Macaca mulatta: one gene and its partners. The protein of the gene in region 3 purifies or fractionates together with the protein of the main gene of each other region. This does not show direct contact. Links are inferred from orthologs where the notes say so. Each region holds a gene or a part of one and is shown on either strand. Other genes may lie near its edges.

The links. Proteins that work in one complex are often made in the same cells at the same time.
Region 1: the proteins of SLC38A9 (region 3) and LAMTOR1 purify together in Homo sapiens (co-immunoprecipitation; 5 studies listed by BioGRID and IntAct, with this or other methods). This does not show direct contact. The link is inferred for Macaca mulatta from reciprocal best matches to the Homo sapiens genes SLC38A9 and LAMTOR1.
Region 2: the proteins of SLC38A9 (region 3) and LAMTOR2 purify together in Homo sapiens (co-immunoprecipitation; 5 studies listed by BioGRID and IntAct, with this or other methods). This does not show direct contact. The link is inferred for Macaca mulatta from reciprocal best matches to the Homo sapiens genes SLC38A9 and LAMTOR2.

Annotation. Positions count from the first base shown.
Region 1 is NC_133419.1:72,398,559-72,402,778, forward strand, and holds the start of LAMTOR1 (ragulator complex protein LAMTOR1), read right to left. Parts: upstream 2,806-4,220; 5' UTR 2,643-2,805; coding exon 2,601-2,642; intron 1-2,600. UniProt on the Homo sapiens protein: Key component of the Ragulator complex, a multiprotein complex involved in amino acid sensing and activation of mTORC1, a signaling complex promoting cell growth in response to growth factors, energy levels, and amino acids.
Region 2 is NC_133406.1:110,879,414-110,883,770, reverse strand, and holds the start of LAMTOR2 (ragulator complex protein LAMTOR2), read left to right. Parts: upstream 1-1,552; 5' UTR 1,553-1,677; coding exon 1,678-1,745; intron 1,746-2,050; coding exon 2,051-2,213; exon of another isoform or gene 2,214-3,231; intron 3,232-4,357. Other genes in the region: UBQLN4 (ubiquilin-4), read right to left, coding at 392-499. UniProt on the Homo sapiens protein: As part of the Ragulator complex it is involved in amino acid sensing and activation of mTORC1, a signaling complex promoting cell growth in response to growth factors, energy levels, and amino acids.
Region 3 is NC_133411.1:63,475,648-63,479,292, reverse strand, and holds part of SLC38A9 (neutral amino acid transporter 9), read left to right. Parts: intron 1-122; coding exon 123-186; intron 187-421; coding exon 422-515; intron 516-3,645.

The DNA.
Region 1 (4,220 bases), on a different chromosome or scaffold from region 3:
TCTGTAAACTCCCAGACACCCTTCCTCCCTAAAACACAGGCTCAGTATTAAAAGAGCTAAAAAGACAAAATGTTTGCCAAAGATAAAACTATGTATTTCTAAGGAAAGCTGGCTCCATAATGAGGCCCAAGTTAGCTTCCTATGTGTCTGTCCTTCTCCCAGCTCCACTTCAGACAGATCTTCCTGCAGGACAGGGTAGTCTCTTCCCTATCAGGGGTTCTTCAAGAAGAAGGCTGGCTGATCACTTCTCAGCCTTCAGCTAAGATCAAGGGAGGAACAAGGTTGTTTTCTTGAAACCTAGACTTAAAGAAGAGGCCATGCTACCCCCTTCAGAGTAGACAAGTATCACCCCACTCCCGAAGTGCGAGTGGAGCATGGGTTAGGTTTGTCACATCAAGGTTTGTCTCTGCGTCAGTGTAACCCAAGAGGCAGGGTTTCACTGTCTACCTTAGCACAGACATAGCACCCTGCCCATGACTGGCCACCTGGTCTAGGGGCATAGATGAGACTGCTTGGCCCCATGGATAAAGTACATGGCTTGGCATCAGAACACCCGGGCATTAGCACTTCCCAGCTTGGCCAAATCACTTAGCTTCTCTGAACTTTTTCCTCACCTTTAAATAGACATAACCCACACTAATATGACAGATGTCTGGCAAGAGTCAAATTAGATAACTATCACGGCCCTTTGTAAACTGTAATGTGTTGTACATTTTTTATTGTGATAAAGAGACAGAGATGAGAGTGGGAGAGGAGCCTGCCCAAGAACTGAAAGAGGGACTCTGGGAGGTGGATGGTTACGGCTCTTGCTACGTGAGGCCTCAAATCACCCAGCAGTGATTAAACATCTTCTCTGGGTGTTAGGAACAGAAAGGAGAGCCCACCAAGGAGAAGGTAGAGATTCAGGAGAGCAGCAGGCCCAGCTCTCCCTTCCAAGTAGAAGCTGGTATCCTTTCTCATAAGGCATTAATCCTTCTTGACTCATTCCCTGCAAGAGTCCACATTATGCTTTAAGGGACAATTTCCCACTAGGCCACAGCTCTCCCAGTAGGCAGGGTTATTGTTGTCTCTTTCTCAAAAAGGTGGAGGTGAAGTGAGAGGTATTAGGCATGACACATGCCTAACACAGAGCAAAGGAAATATGTGTTCATTGGGTGTATGAAGAATTGAGAACCAGAAGCGACCCTTGCTTCCCATACAAATGACATTTTCTTTTTTTTTTTTTTTTTTGAGACGGAGTCTCACTGTCTCCCAGGCTGGAGTGCAGTGGCCGGATCTCAGCTCACTGCAAGCTCCGCCTCCCGGGTCCACGCCATTCTCCTGCCTCAGCCTCCCGAGTAGCTGGGACTACAGGCGCCCGCCACCTCACCCGGCTAGTTTTTTTTTTGCCTGTTTTAGTAGAGACGGGGTTTCACCGTGTTAGCCAGGATGGTCTCGATCTCCTGACCTCATGATCCACCCGTCTCGGCCTCCCAAAGTGCTGGGATTACAGGCTTGAGCCACCGCGCCCGGCCACAAATGACATTTTCCTAAGCTTAAGCCCTTAATCCAAAATACGTTCACTGAAGAAATAACTACTTCCCAAGTACCAGTGATATAATCTATTTTTGTGACCATCTCCCCTATTAGACTGTGAGCTACTTGAAACCTTTCTACTTTCTCAGGTCTACTATATGTTCAAATGTAGAATCCAGGGTTAGAGACGATCAAAAAAGAGTGGACAGCAACTTGTGACTTCATCCTTGAATGTCAGGCCAGGCGGGGCAGGGATTAGAATGTGGAGAGAAGTGAGAATGCACTAAGAGGAAGAGGGAGAATTTAAAACTGTACAGGTCTCCCCAGCCTAAGCCTTTCGTCAGAGGGATCAGATCTACAGCCAAATTCTCAGAACAGGCATGTCTCCAGCTAAAGGAACCCTCAGGCCCCAGGCAGACTGCACTGAGGCAAGCCAAACTCAGACCCAAATGAACTTCCCGCTCCATTTCTCTTTTACCACAATCTAGTCAAAGCTAAACCCTCTTTGTTGCTTCCCAGACAATTTCCCCCATGTCCCGATGTCCTCACTGTATCCATTAAATCCTTCATTGGCCAACTCAAAGGCCACCAACTTCCAGAATCGTCCTCTGGCCCTAAACTAGCAGCGACCTTCCTTCTGCAACCCCAGGGACTAAGACGATACATGAATTCCTGATTCATCGCAGGACAGCCTAACTCAGGGCCTCAGCTTACCCACCCCTGCAATGGATTCGCAAAACCCACTAATACAGAGAAGACAGGAAGCTGGGAAGGGAGTATTTCCCGGGGACCTAGACTGAGGATCCTTGAATCTGGAAAGTTTTGAAGGTAGGAGCAAACGGAAGTGGTGGGAGCGAGCCGGACAGGCGGCTGCCTGTACACCCCGAGGCGGGGACCGCGTAGAAAGCTGGGGCTTTAACTGGGGTAGGAGTCCGGCTTGGCGTCTCCTGTGTAATCTGTCCCCTCCAGGCCTCCGTATTCATCGAGCCCTGCAGTCCTGGCCCGTTCTCCGCAGATTTCTTTCTGGGGCCCCAAGCCCCAGGGTCTTAGCCCTCATTCCCGAGCCCCGCCTGCCGCGGCCGCACCTGGTCCGAGTCCTCGTTCTCGCTGCTGTAGCAGCACCCCATGGCAGGGGTCAGGCCGGGCGCTCAGGCCGCGCCGAGGAGGGACGGCGTCCGTCAGGAGCCCTTCCGGTCACATGACCCGCAACTGCCTCCCGCAGGCAACCACCCGCCGCCACCCCCAGTATCCCTTCTCCCGGAGCCGCTGGGCCGCCTCAGGCAATACCCCGGCTTCCGGTCCCGCCCGCTAGCGCGTGATCGTTGTCAACCAATAGGAAGGCGTAACCGGACACGCAGGCAAGTGAAGCGAGGAAAGGGAGGGGCGGATCACATGACTTCATCTTTCCAGTCTCTAAACTGGCAGAAGTGGCCGTCGTGAATAGTGTTATGCGTTCTCGTGGCCACTAGGCCACTTCTCTGGGCCATTGAGCGAACTCGTACCAAATGCCCTTATATGCCCTCGTGATATACTCTTCTAAATGCCATGCGAGGGGCGAGTGGGATCCAGGCCTGACGCTCCTAGATCGTACAGCCTGGGTGCACACACAGAAGATCCAGATGACCGGTACCCAGTAGGGGAACAGAGGGTGTATCGCCCAGCTGGGCTGGGGGTGAATACACGGAGGGTGTATTCTGCACCTGGGCTGGGGATCTGCGACTTACAGGAAGAAGGGACCTTATACTCCTTCACATGCTGACGCGGAGCGGAGATAAATCCTGGTGGAGGAGATAGAAGTCACCTCACTGACCTCTCTGCCTTCAGGCTTTTATCTTTAATTCTGCCTTTTTTTTAACAGGACCCATAGTAAATCTAACGCACAAAGCTGACCATCAGTTCTCTTTTCCTAAACGCCCCTCCTCCCCCATGTCTTCCCTTGGGCCCTGAACACAGGTCCAAGTCCGTCCAAAATTGTATAGTGATCCATTTGTTGTTCATGCGCGTGTGATTCCGCGTGTGTGAAATGCGCCCACCCTCAAATCTTGTTTTGGCACATTACCCATCTGACATATCAAAGTCACGCAGAGCCTGACACCTCTCTGCCACTGCATGTTCTGAGGTGAGGGGTGAGGGGGTGGAGGGGTGAGCAATCTGTTTCACTGGACATAGAGAAATGATGTTTCCTGATTGATCTACTGGACTTTGCACATGCAGCCTGGTCTGCCTACTGTCTTCGAGACTCAGTACAATGTCCTCCTGATTACCTTCTCTGACCCCATTCTCTGGACATGTCCAGCTCTCTATGCTTAATCCTCATCCAGTGTTAATTCATGCATCTATTAACAAATATTTGCTGAGCGTCTACTATGTGCCACACACTGTTATATCTGGATATGCATCAGTTCACAAAACAGCCAAAGTCCCTGTAGTCGTGGAACATCCAATAGTGATCACACTATATTCTATGTTCCTGGGTCAGTCTCACCTACCAAACTTGGGAGTTCCTAGAGCACAATGACAGGTTCTGACTCTTACCTGTGGCCCAAGGCATGGCCTTGCTTACAAAAAACTTGCGTATCAATGAGTACATTACAGTCACCCCATCACCTTGGCTCACCCCATGCCCCATCTCCTGATCCAAGGGATCGCAGAAGTCGCCAGATCTCGTACCTCTTATAACCCCTCAAATCAAGACCCTGAGGTTC
Region 2 (4,357 bases), on a different chromosome or scaffold from region 3:
TCTGAGGTACAGAGTAGGCGCCGGCGCTCTCCGCCTGCCCCCGGCCCGTTCTCTCGGTTAGCACCTTCCCTGGGCCCCCACTCCGGCACACTCCCCTCAAACCCAGGGTCCTTCCCCCTTCCTGGTGCAAGGTGTCCCCTCCTCACTCTCCACCACGCCCCCAGCCCAGGCCACAAGGCAAAACCCGCCCCCCAACACGCGCCACGCTCCCCAATATCTCCCCTCGCAGGGCGCCCCCTACCCGACTCTCCTTCCCTTCAGCTCCTCGGAGTCCCAGCTGGCCCCCGCTCTCCTCTCCGGGGCCCTCCAGGACGCCAGACCGTCAGGGAGGCCCCCATCTCTTCGCAGACCCCTCCTCCGCGCTCCCCCCGCCTCCCGCCTGCTGTACTACCTCCTTGACCGAGGCTCGATCGCAGATCACAATTTCCTCCTTGTCCTTAGGGGTCTTGACGGTGACCCGAATAGGGGGCCTCGTCTCGGCCCCGCTCGGCTCCGCCATGCCGCCGCCGCCACCCGGCCGCCCGCCAGCCCGCCCGGCTCCTCCTCCTCCCCGCCCGCCCGGCCGGCCCGGCTCGGCTCCTGCGCCTCCAACACTCCCCTCTCTCCACCTCTCCCCTCCCCTCCCCTCCCCTCCTCTCCCCTCCCCTCCCTGAGGCTTCACCGCCCCCTCCAGACCAGCCGCAGCCACAGCGCCCCGGGCGGACCGGGGGGGCCACTGCAGCGGGGTCCGCCCAGGGCCAAGCCCCAGGTCCGGAATCCGGCCAGGGTCTCGCCAAGCTGGGGCTCCTGGGGAGGCTCTGGGCGGGGGAAGGGACGTGCCCTTCACTGCGGGGGCGAGGGCGAACTCCCCGGGAGACCGCGGCCCAACGCTGCTCGCCCGAGCCGTGCCGCCGTCCCCTCCGGCCCAAAGCCTCCCCGCCCCCTCCGCGGCTAACTCTGCTCCGGGACAAAGGACTTTGTGTGTCGCCGCTTTATCTCCGTTCCCTGTGATAACTTGGTCTTTCTTGGAAGCCCCAAGTCCCTTCCAGGCCAGGGGCCTTTCCCGACTTGGAGGTTGGGTTTCCCACCAAGCACGTCCACTTAGGATCTCAGCTCTAGGACTGACCCTATAGCCCCGAGGGTCGCGGCCTAAATGGTCTGTTGCGAACGGTTCCAGGGAGCTGGGTTTTGGCTGCGTGGCCTTTCAGAGCCTTGATTTCCTCAAGATAATAATAGTACCTCTCGCCTCATCGCACAGAATTGTGCATAACGGAGAAAACTGTTTTGAAAGTAACCAAAGGCGCGCCTGACAAATATGAGGATGTAGTATAATTATTGAATCGTGGACTGCCAAGCGGACACGTTGATTCCTTTCTCCCCGAAGGGGTTAAATGTCCTTCCAGCGCTGCAGCTGTCCTTTCACTCCCGCTCTTTTCCGCCCCCACAACCGCGTGGTCCGCCTGGAAAGGCGAACTATAGTTCCCATGGTGCCTCGCGAGGTCACGAGGAACTACGATTCCCAGAGACCCCCGCGGCGGGGCGGTGTTGAGTCGGAACCACAATAGCCAGGCGAGGAAACTACAACTCCCAGGGCATCCCGGAGCAGGCCAACGGGACTACGGGAAGCAGCGGGCAGCGGCCCGCGGGAGGCATCTCGGAGGATCTGGGTGCAAAAACCCAGGGTTAGGAGCGGTAGGCATGCTGCGCCCCAAGGCTTTGACCCAGGTGCTAAGCCAAGCCAACACTGGAGGCGTCCAGAGCACCCTGTGAGTGCGGACCACGGACCCCAGCGGCGCGCGCTGCAGTGGAGCGGCGTGCGACTCCCTGAGGGAGGGGTGGGGAAGGATCGCCCGGAAGGGAGGAGGCGTCAGAGGGGGCAGTGGCTGGGGGTACCGGCCGGGAGGTCACCTCTCGAAAAGGGAGGCCGGTGTGCTGGGTGCTTAGGGCACGTTCCGGGACACACTCAGCCGAGAGCCTTGCTGGATGTGCCCGTGGCGGGACTTGAGATGGAAACCCAGACGTTTTACTCCCCGCGCTGAGCACATCGTTATCCCTCCCCGCCCCTCACCAGGCTGCTGAATAACGAGGGATCACTGCTGGCCTACTCTGGTTACGGGGACACTGACGCCCGGGTCACCGCTGCCATAGCCAGTAACATCTGGGCCGCCTACGACCGGAACGGGAACCAAGCATTTAATGAAGACAATCTCAAATTCATCCTCATGGACTGCATGGTATGGAGAGGGGAGCCAGACTTCCCCTGTCCCCCAAGGGGATCCCAAGGGGGCGACCTGGACCCCATCCTGGATGGTTGGAGGGGCAGGGACAGGATCTCCGGAAGATTACTAAGAGTTGGTCTGCAGCAGCATTTGTAATAGGCAGGACCCTATTCATCAAGTGGTGGTGAGGAAGGAGCCCTGGACCTGAGAGGTCTGACTTGGGTTCTGGTCTCAGCCATCCACTTATCAGTTGTGGAACCTTGGGTAAGTCGCTTAACCTCTCTCAGCTTCCTTACCTCATGTCTAAGGAGAAGACAATTTCCCTCTCCCCGCTTCCCTCGTGGGTTGTTGTGAAGGTCAAATGAAATAATGGGTATAAACAGTAGAATGACGTGCAAACACAAAGTGTTGTCATCCCAGCTTCACCGACTCACAGAACCATGGCAGTCTCCAGACCCTAGTCCAACCCCTTAAGGTTACAAAGAAAGGAAAATGAAGTCCAGAAAGGGGAAGTCGCCATTAGACTGTGAACTTCCTAGTATCTGTTCAGTTAACAAATATTTAGGTCCTTGCAGTGTTCTCAGGACTAGGGAAAAAAAACAGCAAACAGAAAGACAAAACCCCCAGACCTAATAAATCTTACACAGTGATGCGATCACAGCTCACTGCAGCCTCGACCTCCCTGGGCTCAGGTGATCCTGCTGCCCCAGCCTCCTGAGTAGCTGTGACTACAGTCATGCACCACCACACCTCACTAAGTTTTGGATTTTTTGCAGAGACTGGGTTTTGCCATGTTGCCCAGGCTGGTCTCAAACTCCTGGCTCAAGTGATCCACCCACCTCGGCCTCCCAAAGTGATGGGATTACAGGTGTGAGTCACTGTGCCCGGCCACATTTTTTAAAATAAGTAAAATATGTAGTATATATTAGGTATTGAAATTGCAATGGAGAGAAAGCAGGGAAGTTAAAGAGTATGAGTTTGTTGGGCGTATGTGTCAGGGACAGTCTCACTGGAAAGGTGATATTTGATCAAAGATGTGAAGAAAGGTGGGGGACAAGCCATGTGGCTATCTGAGGGAAGAATATTTTGGACAGAACAGCAAGTACCAAGGCCCTGAGGCAGAATTATGCCTGCTCAAGGATCAACAGGGTTGGTTGGTATGGCTGGAGTTGCATGAGAATGGAGGAGGGTTAAGTAGGAGATAAGGTCAGAGAGGCAGGGAGTGCAGTGCTTGGTTCCTGGCATACAATGAATACCTAGTAAAAGTTTGCCGAACTTACTTTTGTTTTTTTCAAATCGGCCAGAGGGTGAACTCTCCAGGAAGGATCTTCATAGTAACTCAACTGCCTACTCTCCCCTACCCCCTGCACAACCAATGCCATTTTTAGTTCAACATAAGACTCCTACTGGATGCCTAGAGCTGGTGCTATAAGGAAATAGCTTTCAAACGTTTTGACCACAACCCAGCCATAAGAAATATATTTTAAAGGGCCGGCACGGTGGCTCATGCCTGTAATCCCAGCACTTTGGGAGGCTGAGGCGGGCAGATCATGAGGTCAGGTGTTCAAGACCAGCCTGGCCAACATGGTGAAACCCTGTCTCTACTAAAAGTACAAAAAATTAGTCAGGCATGGTGGCATGTGCCTGTAATCCCAGCCACTAAGGAAACTGAGGCAGGAGAATCACTTGAACCCAGGAGGTGGAGGTTGCAGTGAGCTGAGATCACGCCATTGCACTCCAGCCTGGGCAACAGAGCGAGACTCCATCTCAAAAAAAAAACCAAAACAAACAAACAAACAAAAAACAAATACATTTTAAGGCTGAGCGCAGTGTCTCACTCCTGTAATCCCAACACAGACTGAGGCTGGAGGATACTTGAGGCCAGGAGTTTGAGACCAGCCTTGGTGACCTAACAAGACCTCATCTCTACAAAAACTTTTTTTAAAAATAAATAAATAAATAAATAGGAAATAATTTTTTAAGAAAGACATTTTAAGTCACAGCTCAACACACACATATACCCACTAAAACAAAAGTCATGAAACAATACTTTTCCTACTACATGTAATATACTTCATTTTTTCTTTTTTCTTTTTTAATGCTGATCAACCTTCTTTTTTTTTTTTTTTCTTTTTTTTTTTGAGACGGAGTCTCACGCT
Region 3 (3,645 bases):
GCTTTTTGGAGCATGACTTAAACTGTATGTGAATGAAAATTACTGGTTATTTTTTGTCTCAATTCAAATGTTTGAAGAGGCAAACTCCATTTTTTTTTACTGCTATTACTCTGTGTTTTCAGTTTTATGATTTGGAATACCATGATGGGAACATCTATACTAAGCATTCCTTGGGGCATAAAACAGGTAATACTAATTTTTTAGCACACTTTTTGCCTAAATGATTTTCTGTTTATATTGCAAGTTTTATAACAGAGGTTTTAATGAATCTACATAAAATTCATGAACGAAAATAGATGGTTATATTTAGTTTTTCATGAGTTGTCAAGTTTTTACCATGATTGTTTAGGGTAAAATAATTGCATATGAATTTGTGCTTACATGATGATGTATGCTGTTTTATACTTTTATTTTTAAACAGGCTGGATTTACTACTGGAATGTGTGTCATCATACTGATGGGCCTTTTAACACTTTATTGCTGCTACCGAGTAGTGAAATCACGGACTATGATATGTAAGAATTTGACACAGTGACAATAGATTATGGGTATTAATAAGCATTTCCCTTTGAGGCAGGTCACTAGTGTGTATATGCCACATGTGCGTCAACTGTCTACTTTGTACCTAAAGATTTACTTCTGTAATTCATTGCTTTCAGCTAAATTGAATTTGTTAATAATATATTAGTGGCTGCCTTTGAAATTCAGAGAAGCTGGGAGTTACTTGCAGAGAGCATTCACTGTGGTGCTAGTTTCTTCATAAGAATCATTTAAAAACTCATATTTATAAAATAATGTCTTTGCTAGAACTAAATTGAGAATTCTATGCTTCCTGTCAGTTAATGGTGACTTGTTTTTACCTATTGATACCAAAAGATCTAAATGTTAGAATCTCCTAAATATGAAAATGTAAGCAACTCTCTAGTAATGAATATTTGAAGTTGTGTGAACACCTTACCTCTACTCTATCTACATATTCTGGATCAGGGAAATATATTTTTTAGGTTGTTTTTAAAGTAGTCTAGGACCTAAACAAACATGCATTATTTCATTAAATCTTAGCAAGTATGAATCAACAGACCAGACTTTGCCTCCAGTTTTTTTCTGTGCCTACTAAGCAGCTTTCTTCTTTATGTTAACCAGATCTAGTGTTAGTCATTGGGCGAGTATTTGTTTAAAAGTCTTGAGAAGCCAGACCTGGTGGTGTGTGCCTGTAGTCCCAGCAACTCAGGAGGCATAGGTGGGAAGATCACTTTAGTCCAGAAGTTTGAGGCCAGCCTTGGCACTGTAGCAATACTCCATCTTAAAAAAAAAAAAAAAAAAAAAGAATAAAAAAGTCTTGAGAGAGGATTCATTCTGGTTTCTAAATGGTAAAAGGAGATAATTTTAGCCTCTGGTTTCTAAGGCAAATTGTGGCTAAACTTGGAAGACTTCTTTAAACATATACAGTAAGTTCATATCTTATCTAATTCAGCATCTAATTTAAAATTGGGACAGAGCCCCCAGAGAGTTCTCTCTATAACTTTTTTCTTTTCTTTTCTTTCTTTTCTTTTTTTTTCTTTCTGAGACAGGGTCTCACTCTGTCACCCAGGCTGGAATGCAGCAGTGCTGTCACAACTCACTGCTGCCCGGACCTCCCGGGCACAGGTGATTCTCCCACCTCAGCCTCCTGGGTAGCTGGGACTACAGGTGCATGCCATCATGCCCGGTTAATTTTTTGTGTTTTTCATAGAGACAGGGTTTCACCATCTTGCTCAGGTTGGTCTCGAACTACTGGGTTCAAGTGATCTGCTCACCTCAGCCTCCCAAAATGCTGGGATTATTGGCTGTATAACTGTTAACTCCCATGTTATTACATTATTCCACACCATTTAAAAAGAAGAGAGGCTGAGGCCCAAGAATTGCTTGAACCCAGGAAGTGGAGGTTGCAGTGAGCCAAGATTGTGCCACTGTACTTCAGCCTGGGTGATGGAGTGAGACTGTGTCTCAAAATAAAATAAAATAAAACAAAATAAAAATCTTCCACCAATTCAGTTTAAAGTCCACACACCCATAACACAAAGCCTGACATGACCAAAAATAAAGAAAATAATATATAGATGTAAAATTTATTTGTAAAACATTATCATATAGAATCCAACAGCGTATCAAAAGCATATCCTGTGTCTAAGATAAGGTTTATTCCAGTAATGCAAGAATGTTTCATTATTAAGAAATCCAACATAATTCACTACATTAACAAATTAAAGGAAAATTGATAATTGCTTCAATAGCTATCAAAAAGGTACTTAATAGAATTCAGCACCTGTTTCTGATTAAAACTCTAAGTGAAAAGCACTACTTAAAAATAACAAAGTCTATTTATTCCCAGACAAGTACCAGCACCATTCTAAAATTATGAAATGCTAAAGCAGTTTTCATTAAAGTCAAGAAAACATAGAAATGTTCAAAATTAATCAGTTTTTTTGGAGATATTGTCAAATGCAGCAAAAAAAAAAAAAAAAAACCCTAAATATAAAAACTAGAAAAGACTTAGAATTATATTATCAGTCAAAAGATAATTTTATTAGAAATGCTAAGAGTCACTCAGCTCACTGCAACCTCCTCCTCCCAGACAAGCAATTCTCATGCCTCAGCCTCCCCTGTAGCTGGGACTACTGGCGCCCACCACCATGCCTGGCTAATTTTTGTATTTTTTTTCTTTTTCTTTTTCTTTTTTTTTTTGAAACACAGTCTCATTCTGTCACCCAGGCTGGAGTGCAGTGGCAGGATCTGCAAGCTACGGCTCACTGCAAGCTACGGCTCACTGCAAGCTACGCCTCCTGGGTTCATGCCATTCTCCTGCCTAAGCCTCCCAAGTAGCTGGGACTACAGGTTCCTGCCACCGGGCCTGACTAATTTTTTGTATTTTTAGTAGAGATGGGGTTTCACCATGGTCTCGATCTCCTGACCTCGTGATCCACCCGCCTCGGCCTCCCAAAGTGCTGGGATTACAGGCATGAGCCACCGTGCCCAGCAATTTTTGTATTTTTTGTAGAGATGGTGTTTCGCCATGTTGGCCAGGCTGGTCTCAAACTTCTGACCTCAAGTTGATCCATCTGCCTCGGCCTCCCAAAGTGCTTACAGGCATGAGCCACTGCACCCAGCCAAAACAGTTATTCTTTATAGTGATATTGTCCTCACATTCTTTATCTAGATGTGAATTATATTCTAATGTCCCCAACTTTTCAGGCTTATCACTGCTTTCTGCCATGTACTAGCTGCCATATTTTGCTTCAAAGATGGCAGAACTTCAGTTTTTCCGTATTCATCAACCGTGACAATTATTTCAAAGTAGTTCAAAGCATGGGATCATAGAGGAAAAAAGACTGTACAATTATCCTTTGATGACAATTAATATACTCTTTCATAGGTTATACTTATCTATATTCTTTCTTGAACATTGAAATGTAAAACACAAAGTTTATATTGTTAATATAATAACCCTATCATGGAAAAGCAAATGGTTTTCGTTTTTTGTTTTCTTATGTAAATTTATATCCTAAATGATAGGAATCTCTACATGCTTTTTAAAGTTAATCATATTGTATTTTAGTTGTCTTCTACTTTATTACCTATTTTTTAGTACATGTTATGTTTCTACAA